Linked DNA regions of Oryzias latipes. The protein of the gene in region 2 interacts with the protein of the main gene of each other region in a pairwise test. Links are inferred from orthologs where the notes say so. Each region holds a gene or a part of one and is shown on either strand. Other genes may lie near its edges.

Region 1 (3,470 bases), on a different chromosome or scaffold from region 2:
CGTCCTAAATCTGTTTGGCCAAACAAATATTTATCAGTGAAAGTATAATGCAAAATGCTGCTACATGTATTTGCTCAGGGTCTGTTTTATAATTGCTGGAACAGAATAAACAGTTGTAGTTCAGCTTGAGAAACTACTATAAAAGGCAATCCCTCTCACACAGTCTTGAAGGGATAAGACTTCAATTAAAAAGATGGAAACGCAGGAAAAAAGTGGAGATTTTCCACCACCAGCTCTTTTTTTTTTTTTTTTTTTAAATGTTTTGTTTGTGCTGTGTTACCCCATTTCCCCTGGCTCACTGCCCCCACCATCAGCATTCCTGTTTTACCTGTATATGGTGTCAAGTAAAGAGAGACTGTTTCACAACCATCATACCACAGAATGGATGAATGTGAACAGCTTCTGTGGGGATTTTTGCATGAAGATTGTTAAGACAATACTGCTTTGTTGGCTTGGATTTACCCTTTTCTTCTCAGCGTATCATAAGATTGTAAAATAAGGTTGAAATGGGATCGAGGATCTTTCTTTTTATTTGCTTGTGGATGTGTTTTCCAATAGAGGGAGACAAAGCTTCGGAATGAACAAGAAATATTATTCTGTGACACATTCCTGTCATCATTTTTGAAAAAGAAAGAGCTCTTGTGGATAAATATCCACGTTCACCAACAAGATCCAACTGCAACTAAGAAATTTGTCAATCTGAGTTTAGCAACATCTTGACTCAATAATATGCGTTTAACAGCTGAATTTGTCAGATTAAGTGTGACAGTGGCATTGGCTTGGTGTGAGTCAAGAGCGTGAGGCTGTAATTTGTCATTTGTGTACAAAAATATATTTATTTGAAGTTTCCTGTAAAAGCAAAAGACACATATTTACAACAATGAAATAACAGAAAAGATTGACAAAATCAAATATTCTAATAGAAAGAGACAAGTCTGCCACTGTGTGAAAATCCTTCTACTTAGGGGAAGGAAATCTGTTGACACAGAGATAAAGTGACCTCAGCTTTGCGTGAATGTGAGCAATCATGGTGGCTTGTTCATCAAATCTACATTTTTTTTGTGGGGTTTTATAATCTGCTTCACAGCAGCCGTCCAACATTCCTTTCCCAGCCTGGGTGTCATGTGGTTTAAAGTCCCTCAGCTGAGGTCCACTGTTCTTATCTGTAAAAGAGCATGTCGACCAGCAGCTCCAGCAGGTCAGCCTGGCCTATGACGGGCCGGAAGAAGAGCTCGGTGACGAGGGTGGGTGTGATGCCCTGCAGCATGGAAGCTGTGAGCAGGATTCGAGCGAAGCGCTCCTCGCGACCCGGGTGAAGGAGCTGCACCACCTCCCTCAGGGCGTGCTGAGCTTCCTGCTGCAAGCCCTCCACAAACAATCCAGCCTTTAATTCCGGAACGTCTGTGGACGAGGAAAACGAGTAAAGTCAGTTAACGCACACACACATACTTCATCCTTTTACTGAATCCAGCACCTTCGTACCTGGATTGAATATCGTGGTTCCCTTCAGGTATGCATACTCCTTTGGGCTTAAATCCAAACTCCAAAACTTTTTGAGGCAAGACTTGAGTTTGCTGACGCCTGCCATGGTGGGCTGCTCCCTTTTAGCCTCGGGGCTCTCCTGGCGGTTCAGAAGAATCTTTTTCAGCATGCTGTCAGCGGGGGCATCTGTAACCTCAAAGTCCACATGTTCTTGAGCCAGCCCCAGAATAAAGAGGGGAGCCCAGCAGCTTCTCAACAGCGCAAACTGATCACTCAGTGGCAGCTGGTTGAACGCAGGCAGGCTCTTAATGAAGTGGACGGTTTTAACCAGAACTGCTGAGGCTTCTTTGCAGATCTCACTTGGACTTTTTAAGCACAGTGTCCGGCGCACCTCGCAGTTGCACCTGTGAGGCACTGAGATGTAGTTGAGGCAGTCTTGGCTCTGCATGCTGCTGTCCATTTGGCTCAGGATGTTGTAGAGGATGGGATTCAAAACCCTATCATTGTTGGTTAAGCAATGGCATCTGCTATCCATCTTTTTCCCCCCGATGACATATAATGGTGATGAATGCGTGCGTCCTCTCACAGATAGACTCCTCATGAGCTCCTGAGTGGTGCTGCTGCCTCTTCTATATTTATAGGGCCAACCCCCCTCCGTTCAGTGGACCTTGAAATGTCAATACACTCGATGTGAAAAACAACCGCTCGCTTTGCCAGGTGACTGCTGGAACAACCCTGGGAAACTGATAAGATTTTCTCAATGAAAGTAGCTGCTGGAGTAACACATATCAAAAAGGATGGGCCTTATCTGCCAGCAAGTGTCATTAACCCAGGCTGTACCAAGCTACCAAGGACTGCAGTGGTAATCCAACCCACACTGTGTCACTACACCTGCCAGATCACACCTGTGAAACTGGAACAAGGCCAGGGCACAAAGAGGGCATTGACCCCTGACTTAAATCCTCAAAAGTACAGTGTCATTTCAGTCAGTGGTAAAACTAGACAATATGGGAGAAAATTTTGAGAAAATTCTACGTATTGGCTTTTAAACTAAAAGAGAAATAAAAAAGAAGCTACTCTAAACTATTTTTAAGGGGCCTTCATCATGCTTTTATTGAGCCTTCCAGAGTGAACTATATCCATATATGTGATATATATTCTTTTGGCCCTAAAGAACGTTTTTATTATGAAATATGAGTTATTTTCACAATTCATTTCATACCCGGAAGTAGAATGACTCGATCTCTGAGGCACCGGCTTTCTCTCCTGGTGGGTCCGCCCGTTTCATGATGTCAACTTAGAGTCAGCCACAGCAGCGTGTCTGCGTTTTTCCCTCGAAAACAAACAATATCCGAACTTTTGCAAAGATGAATGTGCATAGAAACAGAATAAGCTAGAGAAAGTGGATGTGTGTTACCCTGGGGTTGGGGCTGCAGCGCAGACTCTGGAAGGGGCTGTTCCTCACTTTGAGACGTCACAATGTGAGGACCCACTCGTTGTTGTGGGTTGGGAGGGGCTGGTGCTCAGAGCACAGGTTTTTAGAGGAATGCTCAGAAATGCATGAATGGATCAAAATACCCCTTTGGGGTTGTTTACAGTGAGGAATGAAAATTACAATACACTTAAAGCTCAAAAAAGTTGATTTTGGATGATATAAGAACCCTTTGAAATTCCACAAATAAAAAGAAACAGACTGGTTAAAAATGACGAACTCTTGACATGAAATTCAACAAAATCTCAAATCACAGTTGCTTTGGGTCAATAGGTTGAATACTTGCCCAACAAACCTTGGACAAATATAGAAGTGCTGTGTCCTGTGAGTCATTTAAGGTTGTGTTTCTAAACCCGGTACTTGGGACACACTGTATTTTTTCAATCTTACCCGGCTCAAACTCAAATGCCTTAGGATAAATTATTTGCTTTTAATCTGGACATAAGTTTTAAAGCAATATTGTTTGAGACTTGTTCTGTAGCTCACTCAAATGAAA
Region 2 (3,995 bases):
GCCATCCTTCTTCCTTTCACACTGTTCATTTCACTGACAAACTGTCATGATCCTCCCCATAATGCTGTGACTAAAGGACACATTCTCCTTTCAGTGTCATTCCTCTGGTCTTCATGCCTTAATGTCCGATATGAAAGGGGGGGGGGTGCTCGATGATGGCATCAGGCAGGCAGTACACAGTCCTGAGCCAGCGGTGCTGGATGGGAGGTGTCGTCATCAAAGCCAGCACGCGGTCTATAGTTGTAATGTCATCTCAAACAGATCCATGTCAGAATTCCTAATGCAACGCCACATTAGGAAATGACACTGAGTAAGCAGTAATCAATAAATTCAAGGTCTTCACGCATGGCTGCGCCCTTAAAACAACCAATTAGAGCCTGCCACTCAAACTGTCCTTTAAGGGTACAAGTTTAAATATTAGGGGTGTAAAAATTCATTTTAAAAACAATTTGATCTATATCGTAATTTGTTGTTGCAGTTTCAATTCATAGTCGATACTGGTTCATTTTAAACAGTCCAATTCACTGATCTGAAATCAATCCAGAACATTTTCCGTCAGAACTTCAACCAGTAGGACTCTGAGATAAATACGGGTACTGAACAGTCCAGGTGAAGTTTTCTAGATTCCTTATATTACATGCAAGATAATCAAGTGTAAATTAAATATGTGTACAAACAATCAAGTAAACAAGAATCAATGTCAAATCCATTCACAGTTTAATTTAATTAAGTTGAGCCCACTGCTGTTTTACCACATTAAAATAGTCCAAAGGGAACATTATTAGAGCATTAAACCACAATGTTATGTCACATGTCTTTGCTAAATTCAAAGTGTTTCCACACATTGGACTGTAACGATGGCTTGACAAGTTTTTGCTGCCATCACGTGTGCATTGTCTGCTCTGATGCATTCGGTCGTTTTTACGTTGTAGTAAAATAAACCTACCATGTCTCAATCGAAATGGTATTTTCCAATATCGATATAATCGATTTTTGTCTTTAAAAATTACAGTATGAGGGTAAAGGTCGATACAACTAACGACTTCCTTCAAAAAGATTGATCTGGTTGGATCGTAGGATTGATTCATCGATTAAGTTGATACACCCCTAATGTGCGCAGTCTGAAATACAATGTGTTGCACCTGTAACAACAGCCTGTCAGTGTGTGCAGTGCAGGTGGTTGAGTGTATTTCTGTGAAGCCACATAAAGGGTGTTGTGGGACTGAGTCAGCGAGCAGCGCCTGTAACCTAAGACAGCCACCCCGAGTCTCAGAAGTCCCTGTGAATCTCCTCGGTGTGTTCATGCAGCTGATGATATGTGTCGAGGTGTAACATGACGCCTCCATGAAAGAGCCGCAGACACAATAAGGCGGGGGGAAACCTACAGCCCTGCGCTTGTCTCTGCTGCGGAGGACAAGGGTCTGCTCTGTTCACAAACTTACAGTAGCAGTCAGCATTAATGATTTACAGTTTGAAGTGCTTTAGTGTATTTAAACTGCTTTTAACTTCAACAAGACTAGATTTCAGAATTAATCCCAGAAATGAGTTATAAGAAGTAATACATATCTAATAAAAAAGAATTTTGTAACTCAGAAAAATCAAAAAGCATGCTAAAAATCTCCAATTTGACAATTGAAATCCCCCCTTCTTGCAGGTTCAGCTTCAACAAAACAGTGGGTTTCCTTAAGATTAATTCATTAATATATTTAAATGTAAAAAGAAAATCAAAAATGAAAGTCTTGCGCAATGACCATAGGTCACCTGTCAGCAACTGAAGTGAGATTATCCCCAACAGCAGACTTTAAGTCAAGCAACAACGCATGAGGTCACTTTTGGGTGCAATTTACAAGTTTGTGCAATATTGACAAATTATTATATGCCAAGTAAGCAAATAATAAATAAAAAAGAAATGAAGTTAAAATTATCAATAACAAAAATGATATCAAATAAAAAAGGCTTGTAATTTTGTTGTATGTTTAATGTAAAAAAATCACATATCCTCAAGAGGAAACATTTTAAAGTCACGATGTAAAGTTAATCTCCCTTTGTTCTTAGAAGTTCGGTTGGTATAAACAGGCACAAGAAAATTAAGTTTAGCTTCGAGGTTTTTTTGTTTTGTTTTTTTAGCATTAAAACACAAAATCTCTCAACACTTAACCAAAGTGTAAAAGTTAAACGAGCCGCGAGGTGCGCGCGCGCCACGCCGCGAGCGCTGTCACTCCGCGTCGAAGTGAAATGTCACCAGCTCAATTAAAAAGCACGAGACCCGCACATCTGTCCGTTTCGATAAAGGGATAAATTAGAAGTTAAAGAGAGGGCAAATTACACAAAGCAGCAGCGGCAGCAACAAACGTGTTGATGGGGTTTGGCAAGTCGCTCCACGCGCTGTCAAGAAAAAAAGAAAGAAAGAAACCACGAAGCGAAAACCCTGAGCCCCAGCACGTTTCTCGCTGTCTTTTCTTCGGCATTAAGTAGGTCTGTAAGAAACAAAGTAACTTACCCAATGACAGGAACGGTTTGGTTTCCATGTCGGACTCGTAGGTTAGCTCATGCCAGCTGAGACGACCGCGTTCGGGAGTTTGTCTCACTGCTCGAGCAGAACAAACCAGACCAAGGAGCCGCCGCCGCTACCGCTCTGGAGCTTCACGGAGCGATAAAAGTGACAGGTCGATGGCTGATAGTGTCAGAAGATAACCTAATGTTTCTACTTGTGTTTGCTCACTCAGCTGCTGCGCTCACTCCTCTGCTGCCTCCCCCTCTCTCGGGTGTAGAACAACTCCAACTGCTGGAAGTGCACAGCGAAGGGGACCTGCGCAGGGGGTACTCCCACCAACGCGCACAGGCCCGCAGCGACACGACAAACACAGATGTGAGGCTCGCTGAGAACTTCAGAAATCCAAACACATTCACAGAAATGCGCAGCTTCTCGCCAAAAAATCCCTTCAACTCCTTCCTTCTTTTTATCTTCTGTTGTTTTAACCTGGTCACACGTGTTACAGCTGCGCTATTAGCTTAACAGATAGACTTTTTAACTGCCTCCCCTCTTATCTAAGATGAGTCCATCCAAGCCCGGACATAGGTATGGACGGGGGAAGGGGGTTAATGCCCCCCCTAAACGGAGTTACTGTCCCCCCCAGAAAGATGTATGTATAAATGTATGTATATCAAGAAATATTATATATTTAAGAATATCATATAATAACAAATAAAATTTACAAAAAAACCCACACAAAACAGACAAAAAATCTATCTAAATAAAATAAAAGACAATAAAACACAAGGGTGGATGTACAGAAAGATGGTCAAATAGACAGACTTGTGCCAGGCCTAAGCCAAGCAAATGCAGAAGGTCCTGTGAGAAGAACTTCAACAAAAACCGTATGAAATAGATCAAAATAGTCTATATATATATGGATAGTTGAACCGATGTGATGATAGCATGATTTCCACACAGACTTGCCCCGATATTCTACTTATTCCTCGTGGGTTGGCTGGCCAAATTCTGCCCTAAGTCCAACCTTTTTTTTTTTTTTTCTCCAGAAGATCCCAGATCATAAAAACATATGTCACAACATGTCTGTTTTGATAACATTTGAATCTGATCTACTATCTGCTATTCAAAACAGCTTCAGTGAAACTGGGTGCAGGAACACTACAAAACAAAATGATATATTCATTGCTCACTTTGCAAAGGTAATACTCACAGATAAGAACAGTTGGGTCATTTGTATAGTATTCCAAAGCTTATACCAACTTGGATAATAGTGACGCCTTGCACGAGTATGGACTGTTTTATCAGGTTACTGTCTTCCCCCCTAAGGTTCAACAAAAAAGAAATATCAGTTACATTTTTCAAAGGATTACAAGCTTGGCACATTTATGATCGACACACTTATACTGATACAGTGTGGGTATGTGTGGCTGTTTGTTTACTTTTGTCGTTGGTTCTGAGGTGGCCTGCACTGTGACCTGTCCAGGATGTAGTGACCCGTTGG

The links.
Region 1: the proteins of rxra (region 2) and nr0b2 interact in a two-hybrid assay, tested with the Homo sapiens proteins (2 studies listed by BioGRID and IntAct). The link is inferred for Oryzias latipes from reciprocal best matches to the Homo sapiens genes RXRA and NR0B2.

The regions. Positions count from the first base shown.
Region 1 is NC_019874.2:9,914,883-9,918,352, reverse strand, and holds nr0b2 (nuclear receptor subfamily 0 group B member 2), read right to left. Parts: upstream 2,086-3,470; 5' UTR 2,084-2,085; coding exon 1,483-2,083; intron 1,402-1,482; coding exon 1,160-1,401; 3' UTR 513-1,159; downstream 1-512. UniProt on the Homo sapiens protein: Transcriptional regulator that acts as a negative regulator of receptor-dependent signaling pathways. Specifically inhibits transactivation of the nuclear receptor with which it interacts.
Region 2 is NC_019870.2:22,893,992-22,897,986, reverse strand, and holds the start of rxra (retinoic acid receptor RXR-alpha), read right to left. Parts: upstream 2,815-3,995; 5' UTR 2,529-2,814; coding exon 2,501-2,528; intron 1-2,500. UniProt on the Homo sapiens protein: Receptor for retinoic acid that acts as a transcription factor.